Mus musculus: one gene and its partners. The protein of the gene in region 1 interacts with the protein of each later gene in a pairwise test. Links are inferred from orthologs where the notes say so. Each region holds a gene or a part of one and is shown in the gene's direction. Other genes may lie near its edges.

Region 1 (5,977 bases):
GGATTCAGACAGTACTAGACTGCCTCACAGATAAGGGCAGCAAGCACTTCTGGTCCAGCACATGCCTATATGCTTCCAAATATTCAAATTCTCACCTTGAGTGAGCAGAAGACACTTCTTAATTAATACAGAAATCTGCCCGGCGTGGTGGTGCACGCCTTTAATCCCAGCGCTTGGGAGGCAGAGGCAGGCGGATTTCTGAGTTCAAGGCCAGCCTGGTCTACAGAGTGAGTTCCAGGACAGCCAGGGCTATACAGAGAAACCCTGTCTCCAAAAACCAAAAGAGGGAAAAAAAAAATTAAAGAATACAGAAACCTTCCCTGTCCTTCACCCTTTGTTGGTCAGCTTGCAATCACCTCTGGAGGAACTCACCCCGAAATCTCTCTCCTCAAACTCCCAATACCCACCACCCACCTCCCAATCAGCTTCACCCTTTTGTTTTCCAGGCAGGTTTTTTTTTGTTTTTTCTTGTGTAGCCCTGGAACTTATTGATCGGGCTGGCTTCAAGCCCAGAGATTTGTTTGCCTCTGCCTCAGGGAGTGCTGGCATTAAAGATGTGTTCTTCACCCTCTCACACAGGACCAACAGAACCCTCAGTACCCAGGCTCTACAAACACTGTGCACAGCCCCTTCAAGAGCCTCCATTCACCTTGTCTGCATTCGAAGTCAGCTGTAATCATCTCCCAGCAGGTCACACGGGGCACAGGCATTGCCCCAGGCCCTTCAACCCCCTAGACACTGCTCTGCCCACCACACCAGGCACCTCCTGCTGTGCTATCATTGTTTGCCAAAGTGCAGAATTAAAAAAAGTCAACATGGCAAGGACTTAAAAGTGAGACTTCACAAGGTTAAAAAAATTTACTCCAACTTTTATGTCCACCTGACATTACCTCGGCTCCCCAGGCCTCCTTCAAACCTCTCAGCAGCCACCCAGTTCCATCTATACCCTAGCATCCCACAAGGTCCCACCACTGACAGGTCTCATGGCTGAACACACCTGACCAGCAACTCCTCAAATCACCAACTTCAAGTCCTGTCCCTGTCTACAAGACTTTTAGCTCTGCAGAGAAACATCCCAGCTTCCTCCTACGACCTCCCTTTTTGCCATAATGGGGAAAACTGCCAGCTTCTGTGTCACCTTCCACTGTGGCATCTGCCAATAGCTTCTGCAGACCACCCCCAACCATCACCGCTAAGCCTGGACACCTCTTAGGATGTTAGTTTACAGGAATTCTACTCAAGGTTTGCTGACAGCAGAGACTGCTCTCGGAAGCTGAAGATCTCGGGAAACCTCTGCAAGGTGGGACATGACTACACTCACACCCCACTACCCCTGGAGCAATGTTTTGGTTTAACCCTGGGTCATCATCAGGCTTTTATTGAAACGGGTTGGGTGAGTTTAGCTGCTTCTCTTTTGCCCCTAACACTTTTACCTTAATGGCAGTGATGGCGAAGGCTATTTTCCGCCGCCCATCGATGTTGGTGTTGAGTACTCGCAAAATGTGCTGGAACTTCTCAGGGATCACTAGAGACTGAAAGAACACGGGCAGTTATCAAGACAGGTTACCCCCAAACCGGGAAGGTGGCCGAGGCAGGGTTGGATTGTCTGCTAAGTTCTTACACAACTCCTCAGTCACCGGGGCTCACCCCTAACGCGCTCAGGCGCGGGAAATCGCAACCTCTGACAAGAGGGTGGACGTCGGCCGCGGCCCCCAATTCCCTGGACAGGGGAAGCGGGAGGAGCCCACACACAGCCAAGCTCCTGGCAGCTTTGCTGTGTAAGAGGAGCGAGCATTCCTCGGGGCCCCGATCCCCGGGATTTCACGTCTTAGGTCGTCCCCTCTCGGGTCACACTCCATCGCTCCACAGAGGGCTGTGGGCCCGCAGCATGGGGCACTCTCTGAGTCCTGACGGAAATCTCTCCCTGCCCCGGCTCCGATGTCGCAGGATCCCGGCGCGGATTCCGCTCTTACCATGGCGGCGGCACAGACGGCGGCGTGTAGGCCTCCTGTGGAAGAGAGAGCGGAAGTGACGTATAAGTCTTATATAGATTCCTGGCGGAAGAGGCGGGGCTATCCCCGGAGGTCCACTTCCGGAAATTGCTTCTCTCCCCGTCTCCCCCTAAGGGAGGAGTTGTATTGAGACAGTTTTGGAAGGGACCGGAGCTATAACTTCCGGTTCGGCCTTCTCTGTCGTCGTACCGTTCTTGTGTGGGCGCGGAGCGAAGGTTCCGGAACAGAGTTGTGTTCGAGACGTTCACCTTCCTGTTTGCACTTGACCGAAATGATCAAAGCCTAACCGGAGAGGCTGGAGCCGATCGCCTTAGCTCAAATATCTGGGACCCTTTTTTGCTCCATAGAAGACATTCCAGGACTTGTAGCTTTGCTTCGGGAAACGGACTTTCTGAGACTGACAGCTGCCGGAAGTCGGAAGTGAAGCTGCGGGGGAATGGCAGCCGCAGCGACCATGGCGGCCGCTGCCCGGGAGCTGGTGTTGCGGGCTGGGGCCTCAGATGTAGAGGAGGAGGAGGGCCCGCTGGTGAGAGCACGGGGCTGTAGGTCCTCCGGAGTATCGTCAGGTTGTCCCTCTCCTCAGGCGTAGGCTCCATTTAGACAAGAGGTTCGGAGCCGTCTTGCCACGGGTGATGGTGACCTAGCCTTCGTAGGGACCAAAGTGGCTGAAACCCAAGCCCCAGGGACAGTGTCAGCTTCCTGTTCACGATTTTTAGTAGAAAAAAATTTTAGTGTTTAGCGTAAAAGGTTAAGAACGTGGCCTCTGGAACCAATTTGCCCGGGGTCCCACCTCCAGCCCCACCGCTTGAAAGCTATGCTGTGTTTTCGGTGCCAAAACTTCCCACACCTTTACAGTGCAAACGCTGTTAGGACATACCTTATAGGTGGTCGTTAGGATTAGCCGAATGAGCATGTTAAATGGTGTACCAGACACAGGGGTAAACACTATGTAAGCTGGCGATTTTAGCCTCTGGAATTCCCTCAGGGATCACCTGGAATAGCTGGAAACTGAGGTCCTAAATTCAAAGGCAAGTTTGACTAGTCCTAGTTTTTTCTCATTTGAACAACTCCAGCAACTCCATGAATTGCCTGATATTCTCAGTAGCCCAAGATTGTAGATTTGAACGCATCAGAATCTTTGACCCACTTACTCCGGCACCCCCCACCCCCCAAAGCACCCCCCACCTCACTTGGAGGATTAAGGATACCCGATTATGTTTTGTTTCCAACATCTCTTTCTGTATCCCACATTCATTAACCTGTCCCTCTTCAGGGGGGGGGTTCTGGACTCCAAGAACCCCTACAACTTGGAGAGTTGGACATCACCTCTGATGAATTCATCTTGGATGAAGTGGATGGTAAGTGCTGACATGGGGTGGGAGCAAAGTAGACCCCTTTATTCTTTAGAAATATATTACATGACCCCAGTAGATTACCCTCTATGGTTTCTTTCTTTTGTATGTGTGTGTGTTTTTATTTTTAATTTATTTTTATTTTTTTGGTTTTTTTTCGAGACAGGGTTTCTCTGTAGCTTTGGCTGTCCTGGAACTCACTCTGTAGACCAGGCTGGCCTCGGACTCAGAAATCCGCCTGCCTCTGCCTCCCAAGTGCTGGGATTAAAGGCGTGCACCACCACCCCCCGGCTGGCTTTTTTCTTAATGTACAGATAAAGTTTAATCCATGAGTTGAGAAGGCTTAACTTCTAATTTAGGAATAGTAAGAAATGAACAGTACGAGTCGAATAGTCACAGCAATACACTATAATAAAATCGCAGCATCACTTTTTCCCCTTTGGGACTATTGTTGAGTAAGAATACAGCCTGGTTGAACATACATACGCAGACAGCTAAGACTGAGTGACTGGGAGGCAGGCACAGCACACACCATAGATTAACGGAGCAAAGATGTTTCAGATCCAAGCCCAGGCGAGAGGTTCTCTAGCTTCTCAGAATGCCACACATTTTAGATCTTACAAGCCACACTTTGGAAATCCCCTTTTAATATTTTCCATCTGTGGTCGAGTAGACCATGAGGAGCAGAAACAGCAGGAAGTCCCACCGGGCAAAGCAGCTGTGCCTATAACTGGAGAGGGTGGGGGCTGGGAGGGAAGGGGAGATTGGTGTGGTGTGCGTGTGCCCAGTGTGGGCAGAGGGAGGTCTGGCAGGGGACACTAAATATAAGCTTGTTTCCAGTTCACATCCAGGCAAACCTGGAGGATGAGTTAGTGAAGGAAGCTCTCAAAACGGTGAGGCTCTCCACTGGGTTGATCTCCCCACCCTCCCTTCCTTTTGGGGTCCCCTCAGCTTAGTGGCTCCCCTCTAGCCAGTCACGGAGTCTGTACTGGTTGTCCTTCCCCCCAGGGTGTGGATCTTCGACACTATTCAAAGCAGGTGGAGCTGGAGCTGCAGCAGATTGAGCAGAAGTCAATCCGGGACTGTATCCTCCAGCCTCACAGGCACAGGGCCAAGATGGCTGCTATTGGCATGGGCTCTTGGGGGCCTGTGATGCAGGTAGCCCTCAAGGGGATGTCTTCTCTCTCAGGCTTCTGTCACTTTGGGGAGGACCTGGGGGCAGGTACTGCAGATCGGCAGAGCTCTGTGTTCAGTGTGAAGCCCTTGACTTTTGTGGGTCAGATATCCAAGAGAGTGAAAACATAGCGTCTCTGCACAATCAGATCACGGCCTGTGACGCCGTCCTGGAGGTGGGTGGCCCTCACCTGTTGCCCCAAATCTGACTTAATTGCCTCTTCCTCCTCTTCCTCCTCCTCCTCCTCCTCTCCTTCTTCTTCTATCAGTATTTTTTGTCCCCCTTGGACAAGTGATGATCTCCCATCCTCCTGGGTTGCTGGGTACCAGGGATTTGCACAGAGACTTGGTTGACACACCTGTCCTTGTTCCCCGACAACCCGGAGTCATGCCCACAATGTTTCCTGCCCTCCCCACAGCGCATGGAACAGATGCTGGGAGCTTTTCAGAGCGATCTCAGCTCCATCAGCTCTGAGATCCGAACCCTGCAGGAGCAGTCGGGGGCCATGAACATCCGACTTCGTAACCGACAGGCAGTTCGGGGGAAACTTGGGGAACTTGTGGATGGGCTGGTGGTGCCCTCTGCTCTGGTCACGTGAGTCACTGGTTTGAAAGGTAGTAATGTCCAAAGCAGGTGGTTGGGCTGGGTTACCTAAACAATTTACAACATAGGTCTCTAGGCTGGGGTTGTCAGGTACCATCTAGAAACCAGGTGTGCCGGCTCATGCCCGTAATTATATGCTTGGGAGGCTGAGACAGGAGGATTGCTGCAAGTAGACTAGCCTGGGCTATAGAGTGAGATCTTGTAATGGATGGATTAAGAACTTCGAACCCTGCTTTACCCTCCATAGGATAGGACACAGGTTAAGAGTGCTCCAAGGCTACATGAGGAAGTGTGGCTCAGGAGATGAAAACTTTGTACATATTATCTTGAAGGCATGAGACCACAGAGAAAGGCAGAAATGACATGTGAGGTGTGAGGGGGCTCTCTCAGGGCTGTGGGGTACCCCGTCTAACCACACCCATTCTCCCGTGCTCCTCAGAGCAATTCTGGAAGCTCCAGTGACCGAGCCCAGGTTCCTGGAGCAGCTACAGGAGCTGGATGCCAAGGCAGCCGCGGTGAGAGAGCAGGAGGCTATGGGCACCGCTGCCTGTGCTGACGTCAGAGGCGTGCTGGACCGGCTCCGGGTCAAGGTGGGGAGTGGTCTGCTCAGAATCAGCTTTCCAGGAGCTTCACACTGCTTCCCGCTGTGCAGAGCGTGGTTGGCCCTCCAGATCCCCTGAAAATCTAAAGAAGGTTGAGATGTGGCTCAGTTGGCAGAGCGGTTGCTTAGCATGCATGCAGCCCCAGGTTCCATCCCCAGTGCCATATACATTGGCATGATGGCACAAGTCTGTTGTCCTAGCACTTGGGAGGTGAAAGGAGAAACGAGAGTTTGG
Region 2 (6,028 bases), on another chromosome or scaffold:
TTCTGTCAATAAAACAGAAATCAAGAATTTATTCAGTCCTTTTTGATAATTTTCAAAGCATTCTGACTTTTTTCATTTTGCAATTTAATCTGTTAAAACAATTTTGGGGGTAGTCATTACTTAGTATTAAGCAATTCTGACACAAAAATCCCTCCCTAGGGAATTAAGTACTAGTGGGAAAACAAATTAGGATTACAAGGTGTTCTGAAAAGGCCCAAAAAAGTATTAACAGGAAACCAAGGAACAGAAATATAAGTGACTTCAAAGACAGATACATAATATACACTAAAAACAAGAACTAAACTCAAGTCTTTAACACAAAATCTGATATCCACAAAGTTTCCCTGTATCACACACAGTATGACAATGTTAAGGGCTCTCCCACCCCCCCTTTAGAGACAGGGTTTCACTGTGCAGCTCTGGCTGGCCTCAAGCATTTTCAGTGCTGGGATTAAAGATATGTGTACCTCACACCTCTCACAAGGGATCCCACTTCTGTAGTTAATGCCATACAGACTGTATGTGTTCTGATGTAAACAAACAAAAACACACTTCAAAGCTAGTTTCAAATACCTTGCATTATTAGTATTTTGCCCCTGTTAACTTCTAGAGTCGGTACATTGTCATGTCACCATAGCAGATATGGGCAATGAACATTCCAAAATAAAATGTACCACGCTGGGAAAACGCTGTTCAGCTCTAAAGTTTACTAGTACAACTAAGTCTTTTGAGAATCAGGGCCCACCATCTGGCATCATAGGCACAGAAAAAGCACTACAATTTCATAACTGACATTTTTGATGAACTGTCGAGGGTCTCCACCTCTTTAACAACAACTTGAGGAGGAGAAAAATCAAGACTTTTCTGATGTACCCTTTCTTCAAGAAACAATGTTTGTTCCTTAGTGGAAATTAAAGCATCCTAAATATAAGGGGGTGTTTAAGAGCCCCAATGCGAGTACACACTTAACTCTAAAGTTTTACGCTTTCAGCGTCCATAATTACAAAACTCCAGTTTTATTTTCGCAGTTACCCAAACAGGGCAAATAACTTCAACAGCTGATTTTAAATTCCAGGAATTCACTCATACAGAAATGCACAGCTAGAGCGAAAACTTAACGACCTCAACACTAATAGTTCCATTTTGGACTTTTTTTTAACTTAAATATGGTGGTTTATCCTATTGTTTCTTTGGCGAAAAGTTCAGTCTCCACAGAGAGAAAAGTTTTGGCAGTATCTTGGGGCTGAAAAGAAGGATAAAAGAAAGAAAAAAAAAAAAAGCCCAAATTCTCCGGTCCGGTAAAAGCAATCGTCTTGAACTAGGAGTGGGACTGGAGTCGAGGGTTCTCCAGAGGCCTCCCCACCACAAGACATCTTTAAGGAGGCTGTAAAAATCTACTTGGCCCACGTTCCTTCAGGGGTTCCTCCGCCCGTCCAGCCACGTTTCTGGCTCGCAGGAGCAGACACCGGCTGGCGAGAGGGCGCAGGAAATCACCAGCGGGCGGTGGCGACGGGGTCCAGACACTTCCCGCGCAAGAACGGGAAAGGGGGGGTAGCCCGGGGCCTAGCCGCACTGGACAAAACCAAGGCGAATCCTCGGGGAGAGCAAGCTGCGGGGCCGGTCACCTGAAGTGGATGTGTGAATCCCGAAGTAGGGTCCCACGCCGTGCTGCTTAGTGGCAACGAGGAGACTCGGAACACCAACCCCGGACGCCGAAGCTCCTCAGCGTGCGCTTCGCCCAACCCAGCGCGCATGCGGAGCCACCTCTCACTGCGCAGGCGCCGACAGAAAAGGATCCTTCGTTGCCACTAACCATAGAGTCTTGGTCCTCCTAATATGGGCGGTGTGAACCAAGGGACGAGCTGAAGAGTCACTGCCCCTGGTATTTATAGATTTTTTTGCGGAGGGAACTTGCTAGGTTTAAAGGAGAGGTAAGTTTCTGTTTCTTGCTCCAGGATGATCGCTTTAAGTTTTAGTCAACCAAGAGAGGGCGCTGTGACGAATGGCGGAAAGCCGAGGAAGAGGAGGAGCGTGATCCTCTCCTGACCCATCCCTCAGAGCGTGCTGGGTGCCGGCGACTCGCCGGAGGGAGGGGCGGTGGAGAGACCCGGAATTCCGGACTGTGCGCGCTTCCACATCCGGGCATTCCGTCTCCTCCCCCTCCCTCAGTCCTCGCCCAACAGGAACCGGAAGTGGGAACCGGTTTCCTGGTTGCCTCTTAGCAACGCAGTTGTCAAGTGACCCGGTCAGCTGACTCCCGTGGAGGCGGGCACTGGGGTAACCGGTTCTGGAGGTGTTGCGGTCCCGATTGTCTCGCCGGGGGGCCCGAGCCGAGTCACCGTCAGGATGTCGGGCAAAGACCGGATTGAAATCTTCCCTTCGCGAATGTAAGTTAAAGACTAGGACAAGCGACAACCGTGTTCAGGCACATCTTCCCGGCGCGCATTCCTGCGTACCCTTGGCCACCAGCAAGGTTCCTTGGTTTCTGGGTCGCTCCTTGAGCTTTCCCCAGGGTCTTCGTTTCCTCTGAGTTCCGAGCGAGGTTTCTTTCCAACGCTCCCCTCCCCTGCTGTTTCTGAGAGAAGAGGCCGGAGAAAGTGGTTCCAGTCCACAGGAAAAGGGGGTTCACCTGCTGGCAGCTTTTGGAGGTCGATGCCTTTACTCACTCATTCCGCACACCCTTTGAGCCACACACGGAGTTTACATAACTGAGCCGTCGGCGCCATCTCTACCTCCCAGGGCTCATCATTGCTGAGGATTGAGATGTAGACGCTGAGGTCTGACCAAAGCTCCCAGACGGGAAGTTATGTGACAGGGAAGCAGCTAGAAGGCCCCTCAGCCAAAGTGACATTGAATGTGTCACCCTCTCGCAGCTGTAGGTTTCAGTCTTGGATCCCGTCAAGTGTTATTTGCTGTGGGAAGATATCCCTGCATTTCTGAGGTATTCCTATAGCCCTGTGATGACTGCACTCTTTACGTCTAGCAAGTGTCACTCATGACACTGTCACGCGGGTATTTATTTGGGCTGTCTCCTGGATGAAGGAGGCATCTTTTTAATGCATAGAAGGTCCACAGAAAATTGTTCCTTGAACCCTTGCTTGGGATGTGCTCAGTTACAGGCCGCCTTTCTGCTTTGGGTTAACATCCTTGTTAGGAGAAGTGATGAAGTGAAAACTTGAAGTTTTCTCAAATACATATAATAACTTGTGGAAAGAAAAGGGTATTTGTGCTCTCATCTTCAATTGTTCCTGAAGAAGGAAATCAGTTTTTATTCTGATAATTAGGTCTCTCACTGTGGTCCTGTTTTGGGGCCTGTTTAGGGTTTTGCGTGTGTGTGTGTGTGTGTGTGTGTGTGTGTGTGTGTGTGTGTGAGAGAGAGAGAGAGAGAGAGACAGACTGTATTGTTTACCTTATCCTATGCCTTTTTACTTATAGACCCAAGGACTCTTAAATAGTTTCATTTAAACCACAGAATGAGTTTCTGTCTCTGCCAGGGTATATGTAGCTCTGAGTGAATGAAAGGGTTTAATTATTTAAAAACAAAACAAAACACTTTTAACCTTCTCCCCAATGGCTTTGAAATGGCAAGTTATACTAACTGTACAAACCTGCCAGCTGTGGGGAAGTGCAGTGCTCGTGAAACAGCTAAAGATCAGGACGACCCTAGGGTGATCCCAAAGCCAGCATGTAATGGCCCCATCCAAACTTTACTGAGACATCCGATTCCAGGGTGGCTTCTGGAAACACAAGGACATATCCTAGGATGACCACAGTTCTCCTCCCCACTCCCCAGCCACTAGCCCCAACTGTAATGCCACTGAGTAATATCTCAGAGGCAGAGCTCTTGCCTGGCATACAAAAGGCCCTGGGTTGAATCCCCAGCACCTAAAAGTAGAAATAACCATGCCTGCCTCAAACAAACAAAACTCAAAGCCCATAGGAGAACTAAATACTGGTTTTAGCTGACATCTGATTGATAGATCCTAGACCTCTCTTTGAAAGAAAAAGGGTTTTTAATTGAATATATAGTTTATCTAACTCATAAATGTGTCAGGGATCTGAGAGAACCCTTCTTCGTAAGGTAATCAACCAGGACAGGGTCTCTGTGTCTCTGTGGGAGGCTAGAATCCTGACTTCTGTTCCTGTCAGAGAGCAGGCACAGTTGACACAGCCACAGGTGGACTTTCCCTTTTCTGAGCCTGCCTGAGTGCAACTCATGCTCTTTAAAGTGCCCAGGCACACCTGTGTGAGCCAGAATGGCGCTCACCTTTTTGCTTTGCTGCTAGTGGTCTTACTGTTATAAATAATGTCTGGCCATATTTAATCACTATTTGTAATGCTGGTATGTTTTTATTTTTATTTTGGGACTTTTAATTTAAGACTACAAGGTGAAAAATGGGCTTCTTTGGGCTCAGACAGGAGAAATGATAGGTTTTTTTTGGGGGGGGGGTTGGGTTTTTTGAGACAGGGTTTTTCTGTATAGCCCTGGCTGTCCTGGAACTCACTCTGTAGACCAGGCTGGCCTCGAACTCAGAAATCCGCCTGCCTCCACCTCCCAAGTGCTGGGATTAAAGGCGTGCGCCACCACGCCCGGCTCGAAACGATAGGTTTGTGATCCTGAAAACTGTTATTTGAGAGCACTCTGCTTGCTAGCTGAGAGGAAGTCAGGGGTGGGAAGTAAATATTTTCCCCAAAGCCTGACAGCAGGTTCTTTGTCATATAGTCAGATGTCTTTGATTCAACGGGAGACAAAGTCAATGTTTTAGTTGAAGGTCAAACTTCTTGTTTCTTTGTTTTTTTTTTTTTTGTTTTTTGTTTTTTTTTTTAGGGCTAAGCAGCTTTGAAACAGAAAAGAGCAGGTTCAACAGCTGCCGTGGTCCAGATCACACAGTACTGGTTTTGGTTTCTCCTTCATTCGCTTGGTAGTATTGTCCTGTGGAATGTTGCTTTCATTTCATGTATCACCAGAGAACATGAAACAAGTCTGGATGGAAACAAAGGAGGTCCAAAAGGGATGTGGTTCAGATGGTAGAGCACTTGGCCACAATACCCTGGCCACCACTTGCTAATACTACATAAATCTGGGTGTGGTGGCACATGCCTGAAGCATTGCAGACCAGGGGTTCAAAGCCAGCCTGAGATACATAAGACTGTCTCAAGGGCGAAAAAGGCACAAAAATTGGAGTTAATAGAAGTCAGGTAAATCTTGGTTCTTGTAACTGTTAGGCAAGTCACCTCTAATTCATTATTATATATCCCAGGCTGACCTTCAGCTTCCAGTCTTATTGCCTTCAGGTCTCAAGTGCTGGCTTACAGCTGTTCACCACTCCCTATCCAGCTCTTTAGTCTCTGTAACTGAAAACTTTCCATTTACAGAGGTACAGTCATCTAGAACGACCTTTAGTTGATCCGTCAGTTCATCCATGAGCTCCAAACTTGTAGGAATCTGCAGTGCTGGGATTAACTTAAATTTTATCTAAGTTTCTTCCCATCCACACCCCCCCCCCTTTCCTGTGTGTATGTGTTGCATTCAAGTATGTGGGTGCTTGTGCCTGTAGAGGTCAAAACAGGATGTCTAGTGTTTTTTTCTTCAGTTGCTTTCCCCCTCTTTGCCTTGAGACAGTCTCTTATGGAACTGTAAGCTTGTGGTTTGGGCTAGACTGGCTAATGAGGGTGCTCTCAGGATCTCTGCCCACCAGTGCTGGGGCTACAGGCACATGCAGACATTTCGGGCTTCCTCCTGGATACTGGCTCCTTATGCTCAAAAAGCAAGTGTTCTTACGCACTGAATCATCTTCCCAGCCCCTCTTCCAATCTTTTGAGTCTTAATTCTGGTATTTAGTGTCAACAGTGCAGAATGTTCAGTATACACATTGGTGTGGCTAGCTCTTGCTTGGGCTGGAAACTGAACCAGCTTCACTGGATTAGACTCTGGTGGGAGGGTCACGGCAGTCACCCACTGCTAACTACCCTTTCAGATGGAAAACTGTTCAAGTGCCATAATGTAACATCTTTCAGGGATGCACTG
Region 3 (6,232 bases), on another chromosome or scaffold:
ATAGGATGAGCATGCTGGCATTCAGTGGTTGTAGGCATGGTCCAGTACACTGTTTCCCAACCTGTGGGACACAATCCCTTTAGGGATCAAGCGACCCTCTCTTGGGGGGGGGGTCCCATATCAGATATCCTACATATCTGATATTTACATTATAGTTCATAACAGTAGCAAAAGGACAGTTATGAAGTAGTAACAAAATAATTTTATGGTTGGAGGGACACCACACCGTTGGAGCTACATTAAAAGGTTGCAGCATTAGGAAGATTGAGAACCACTCCTCGAGTATATGAGGACAACCTGGCCTCTGGGGGAACCGGAGGCCTTGGCACGTGTCTTCAAACATCTTTGAGATGGCTCATCTACACTCCACTGAAGCTGCAGCATCTTTCGGAGCCCATTTCCCCATAAGTTTCAAGCCCTTTCCTTTCTACCCAAAGAACACAGGGGTTAACAGTTTTCACCAAGTAAGCTGCTCATCTGTAACACAGCCATGAGAGGCCTTCCCTTCACTGGGATGCTGCAAAGATTAAATGAAGTCATGTACATTAAAATTCAGGCAGAGTATCAATAAATGACCACGCCAGCAACCCAACTACTGAAACATCTACTATCCCTTCGTGCTCTCAGGCCTGTACCCTGCATGGAACACCACCTCCGATCTCATTTAAGAAAATCCCTTATCACTTCACTTATACGACACTGTGACTATATCTTGGTCTTGTTCCTAGATCAGCTTGTGGGTTCCACCAGGGGAGAGTTTGGCTAGAATCTTCTATAATCTCTGACCCACAGAGTTTGCCCGGTACTCCAGGGGTATGCTCTCTCCCTTCCTCCCTCCTTTTTTGAGACTGGGTCTCACCATATGGCCCAAGCTGCCTCTCCTTTCTCCATCCTCCTACCTCACTTCCCCCCTCCCCTGCCCCCCCCCATGTGCTGGCATTACAGGGGGCTGGCACCACACCCAGCTTCGATACTTTTATAACGTGCCCTATAGGGTCCTTTCCCCCACCTCATAGGATCTGAGTTTGCGGATTGAACTGGAAAACCGTCTCTTTCAGGTCCAGCACAAATGAGGTTCAGAAGGGGCTGAGGATGGGATGGGCAACAGTAGGAAACGAGGACGATATGGAAGGGAACCAGGGGTTGAGGCTATACATTTTCCTTGACAGTCCCAAGAAGCCACCATTCTCCCAGGAGATTGTACTAATCCCCAGATGGGCTTGGGGATCAGGGCCATAAGCCAAGGGCCCTTGGGTAAAAGCCTTCCCTTGCCACCTCCCCCCAGTGCGGCACGTGGAACCAAGTCTCTCCTTCCCTCCACCCCTTCCCCATCTCACCTGAGCCTCCTGCACCTTCCCTGCCTGGGTCTCCAGAGGGTCAGAGGCTGGGGAGGAGGGGAGCAGACGTGGTTACAGTGCGGGGAAAGAGTTAAGCAGAAGGGCTCACAATGGTGGAGGACAAGAGGACCCACCAACCTAATTATTTCAGAGTCAGGGATGGTAGTAAAACTATCGGAGATGGGAAAAGGCATATTTTAGAGTGGAGGTATGTGTGACGTGAAAAGGCTGAGGAGGGGAATCTTTAGGAGGAGAAAGCAGGCGAGACTGGACTGAAGGAAGGTTTCAGAGTTAAGCAGGATATGGTAGCATGTGCGAGTCGAGAGAATGAGGGAGGGCTAAGTTTTTCAAGAGACGTAAGTAGGGATACTTCTGCTGAGAGTTGAGTGTGGGAGAGGAGATGCAGTGAAGGTAGGAGGTTTAGGAGAGGCACAAGAACTGAAGGAATGAGATAGTAAGGGGCCACAGGGGTCCCCGGAACCCATCCTACAGTTGCCCTTAACAACAGACAACCTTAGCAACCGGGATAGTGGTAACTTTGGTCCTTAGCAACGAGGGTCCTCAGCAGCCAAAGTACGAGAAATGCGATCATTAAGAACTTGACAATCGGACCCTTACATTTCACAATCCAGAAACCAACCAACCTAGTAATACGGACCACTTAGCAACACCCCTCCGAATCCCACTCCCTTCAGGTAGATCCTGTCTCCCGCCCCACCGAGCCTACCCTCGGGCCCCGGGGCCTGCAGCCCAAAGCCAGGCCCCGGCGCGGCCCGACCCTCCCACCCTCCCAACAGGGCCCCTAACTCACGGTCCGGCTCGGCCATGGGAACGGGGTGGGGGCCCTCGGGACTGTCACCGACTGCTCTGTCCCGTGACGGCAGCGGAAACAAGAAGAGGCCGAGATAGGATAGAGAACTACAACTCCCGGCAGGCAATGCGATCCCCATAACCGCTTTCGTACAATGTGCCTCTCATGTTATCAAACTACAAATCCCAAAAAGCCTGGCGCCGGCGGCCATATTGATAAAGGGCGTCTGGAAAATGTGGGGAAACTCAGCGAGCGAATGTCCACCTCATTTTTCTGATTGGCTGTGGTGCAGTACAGGGGCGGGGTGTAGCTATTTAAAACATTTTGATTGGGTATATGAGGGGGCGTGTTGGGGAATTCCCGATAGGGCGGAAGCACTGGAGCTCATCGCAGAGCCCAGCGACAGGCAGGCGACCACAGGGGGCCACCCGAGGTGGCTGGGGCCATGGCCGGGGTCGCGTGCTTGGGGAAAACTGCGGATGCCGATGAATGGTGCGACAGCGGCCTGGGCTCTCTAGGTCCCGACGCAGCGGCTCCCGGAGGACCAGGTCTGGGCGCAGAGCTTGGCCCAGAGCTGTCGTGGGCGCCCTTAGTCTTTGGCTACGTCACTGAGGATGGGGACACGTGAGTAAACCTTAAATTACTAGACTGAGCCCTGGGATCTTACCTGAGTCCCCTTTAGCCTACGATTCCTGTGACTTCGTATCGTCTCGTTCCTAACTCTTGATTTCCGATGCTGGACTTCCTGGCCCTTAACCCCCAAACACTAAATTGTGAGACTGGTACGCTTTCACACAGTCAAGTGTCTCACCTTTTTTGAACTCTATAAATTTGAGCTCCTGATCCCCAAATCGGATCTGAACCTTTCCGACCACTCTAGTTCCCACATCTTCTTACCTCTTACTTCCAGATGTAGTCTTTGGTCTTTGGCTATTCTTGTATAAGCCAGATTTTGATTTCAAAACTAGTTCTTGGCCCTGAGTCTCTGAAGCTGACACGTCCAGTATTGACCCTGCAGTTAAGAAATTGAGCTGGTGGGTGTCATGGCTCTCACAGCACTTGGAAGGCAAAGGCAGGTGGATCTCTGTGAATTTGAGGCCACCTGATTGAGTTCCCTGCCAGCCAGAGCTACATAAGATGTAGAAACTCTATTCTATGAGGCTAGATTCATCTGTTAGCCAAATGCTTCTCCCAAACTACCACCTTCCAATCCCTGGTTTTAGTTTAGCTGAGTGTGATGGTACACACTTGTCATTCTGGCACTCGAGGGGCTGAGGCAGGAGGATCACTAGTCCGAGGACAGCCTGGAAGGACCCAGTATCAAAAAGGAGGGAAGAGGAAAAGGAGGAGAGGGTGACTGAAAAAAGGTTAAAGAGTAGGAAATGTTGATTAGTAGATAAGCTGGGGAGAAGGGATGGTTGTGGTGACGGCGTGCATTAAGGGATTGTACCCGGGATTTTCTTGTCCTTTGTGCTTATTGCGTATGCCCAGTGACTCAGTGCCTGACCCATGAGGGGAACCCAACAAACACTCATCTTAAAGAGCCAGGAGTAGTTGCCTTAGTTTTCACTTTCTACTTTGTTGGTTCCTGTTCCTTTATTATTTCCCTCTGGTTACTTTGGGTCTGGTTTTTGTGCTTTCTTTATCCTCCCCCTTCCTTTCTCGATTGTTTGTGTTTGACGGTCTCATGTAGCCCAGGCTAGCCTTGAGGTTACTTTGTAGCTGAGGATAGCTTTGAACATTTCATTCTCCTGCTTTCAGCTCCCAAGTGGGTATCACTACATCCCGCCTGGGGAGTGTGTGTGTGTGTGTGTGTGTGTGGACTAGAGGGCAACCTTGGGCTGCACTGAGCACGTAGGCTAGACTAGCTGGCCTGAGAGCCTCAGCGGTCATCTCTTGCTCTCTACCCTCCTCTTCCTCTTTGAGACAGGGTGGCTGGCCTGGAACTCACTATGTAAACCAAGCTGGCCTCAAACTCATCCACCTGCCTCTGCCTCCGGAGTGCTGGGATCAAAGGCGCGCACCACTGTGCTCCATTCCAGGGTTCTCCTCCCTAGTGTTGGGACTATAAATACTTACAATCACACCCAGCTTTTTCTTATGTGGGTTCTAAACTAAGGTCACTGTGCTTTACTTAGCAAAACATTTCCCAGCCTCCAACCCCACCCCCCTTTTAAGTCAGTGTCTCACTATGTAGCCCAGGCTAGCCTTGAACACTACTGTAAAAAAAAATGAATCCTTTTTTTTTTTTCTTCCGGCCACTTAATTCCCAACAATAAGGACTCTGGCATTAACTATTTATTAATAAATGCCTTGGCTACAAGCTTTGGCCCATTCCATAGCTAACACATAACTTATTTAACCCATTTAAATCATTCTATGTTTTCCTTCAGTCTCGGGCCTGCTTCTTCCTTAGCATCGTCTTTCTCGGTGTCTCTCTCAGTGACTCCTCCAGTGTCTCTCCCTGTGTCTCCTTTTATTCTCTCACTATTTCCCAGAATCCTTTCTTTTCCTGCCAGTGTCCCACCTCCTATTTCCTGCTTCAGCTCATTGGCCGTTTGCTTTTTTATTGACAGGTGTTGCCTATAAGAGATTCTGTCTACACATTATGAAATTTTTCTTTGGTTTATTTTATTTATTTTTGGTTTTTTGAGATTGGGTTTCTCTGTGTAGCCTTGGCTGTCCTGGAATTCTCTATGTAGAGCAGACTGACGTTGAACTCAGAGATATGTCTGCCCCTGCTTCCCAAATAATTTTACTTTATGTGTATAAATGTTGGATCCCCTGGAACTGGAGTTAGGGATGGCTATGAGCCACAATGTAGGTGCTGAAAATCAAACCGGGGTCTTCTGCAAGAGCAACAAGTGTTTTTTGTTTTTTTGAGACAGGGTTTTTCTGTATGGCCCTGGCTGTCCTGGAACTCACTTTGTAGACCAGGCTGGCCTCGAACTCAGAAATCCGCCTGCCTCTGCCTCCCAAGTGCTGGGATTAAAGGCGTGCGCCACCACTGCCCGGCAGCAACAAGTGTTCTTAACTGCTAAGCCATTGCTCCTACCCTACCCTACTCTTGGTCTTCCTGCCTGGAATTCCGGGCAAGGTGGTGCGTGCCTGGTTTATGCAGAGTTGGGATTGATCCCAGGTTCTTATGCACGCTAAGCTAGCAGTCTACCAAGCAAGCCACTGCCCAGCTCATCTCTCTTCTTTTCTAATGTGCTTGGAATGCTGTAAATATTCCCTCTGGAGAACTTCTGATATATTGTGTTTTTATTTTTGCATAAATGAGTATATTTTCTAATTTCTCTTGGTTTCTCCTTTGGCCAGTAGGTTATGAAGAAGTATGTTCATTTTTCACGCTTGGAGGAGTTTCCAGATCTCTCTGTTACCAGCTTTAAATTTCATTTTACTGCGGGCAGAGAACATGTTTTGTCTGATTTGCGGTCTCTAGTTTTTCTCTTGCAGCGCTGGCCATCAGACCCAGGGCCTTCTGAGTGCTGGGCGAGTGCTCTCGGGAACTGTGTGCCGGTGGAATTCATTTTGACAACGTGTGACTTAGAGGGAATGTTGGTTAGCAGTGTTGTTCAAAGCTGGGCGTGTGATTCCAGCTACAAAGAAGATTGAGGCAGGAGGAGCTCAAGGTCAGGACCTGCCGAGGAATAGAGTGAATTCAAGTCCAGGCTGGGGACATTCACAGCGAGGCCCTACTTCAAAATGAGGGGAACCAATAGCAGGTAGCTCAGTGGCAGCCAGCGTCCCTGCATGCAAGCTACCTTAGGTTCAGTCCTCATGACTGCAAAGACAGGGCAGCAGCCACCACAGAGCCCTGCCGTTCATTTGCTCCTGCTTTCCTACTTGTTGGAACAGTTGGTGACAGAGACCTAGTGAAGTTACCACACCTATGGATTCGTCTGTTGCTTCTTCTCCTTGTTAGCTTTTGCTTTATGTAATTTGAAGGTCTGTTCTTAGAGCTACACTGAGTGTGTGTGTGTGTGTGTGTGTGTGTGTGTGTGTGTGTCTGTGTATGTGTGTGGTGAGAGCCATCGTATCCAGCTTGTCTGTGTGTATGTGTATGTTTATGTGTGGAGGA

The links. The genes of interacting proteins can lie anywhere in the genome.
Region 2: the proteins of Vps52 (region 1) and Atp6v1d interact in binary tests that used the Homo sapiens proteins (3 or more experiments, as listed by UniProt). The two-hybrid records come from large-scale screens. The link is inferred for Mus musculus from reciprocal best matches to the Homo sapiens genes VPS52 and ATP6V1D.
Region 3: the proteins of Vps52 (region 1) and Nfkbib interact in binary tests that used the Homo sapiens proteins (3 or more experiments, as listed by UniProt). The two-hybrid records come from large-scale screens. The link is inferred for Mus musculus from reciprocal best matches to the Homo sapiens genes VPS52 and NFKBIB.

Annotation. Positions count from the first base shown.
Region 1 is NC_000083.6:33,953,645-33,959,621, forward strand, and holds the start of Vps52 (vacuolar protein sorting-associated protein 52 homolog), read left to right. Parts: upstream 1-2,155; 5' UTR 2,156-2,448; coding exon 2,449-2,538; exon of another isoform or gene 2,539-3,040; intron 3,041-3,285; coding exon 3,286-3,370; intron 3,371-4,204; coding exon 4,205-4,257; intron 4,258-4,372; coding exon 4,373-4,448; intron 4,449-4,645; coding exon 4,646-4,713; intron 4,714-4,956; coding exon 4,957-5,132; intron 5,133-5,580; coding exon 5,581-5,731; intron 5,732-5,977. Other genes in the region: Rps18 (40S ribosomal protein S18), read right to left, coding at 1,434-1,532, 1,974-1,976. UniProt on the Homo sapiens protein: Acts as a component of the GARP complex that is involved in retrograde transport from early and late endosomes to the trans-Golgi network (TGN).
Region 2 is NC_000078.6:78,857,778-78,863,805, reverse strand, and holds the start of Atp6v1d (V-type proton ATPase subunit D), read left to right. Parts: upstream 1-2,167; 5' UTR 2,168-2,346; coding exon 2,347-2,387; intron 2,388-6,028. UniProt on the Homo sapiens protein: Subunit of the V1 complex of vacuolar(H+)-ATPase (V-ATPase), a multisubunit enzyme composed of a peripheral complex (V1) that hydrolyzes ATP and a membrane integral complex (V0) that translocates protons.
Region 3 is NC_000073.6:28,762,784-28,769,015, reverse strand, and holds the start of Nfkbib (NF-kappa-B inhibitor beta), read left to right. Parts: upstream 1-2,371; 5' UTR 2,372-2,593; coding exon 2,594-2,772; intron 2,773-6,232. Other genes in the region: Sirt2 (NAD-dependent protein deacetylase sirtuin-2), read right to left, coding at 1,338-1,384, 2,149-2,164. UniProt on the Homo sapiens protein: Inhibits NF-kappa-B by complexing with and trapping it in the cytoplasm.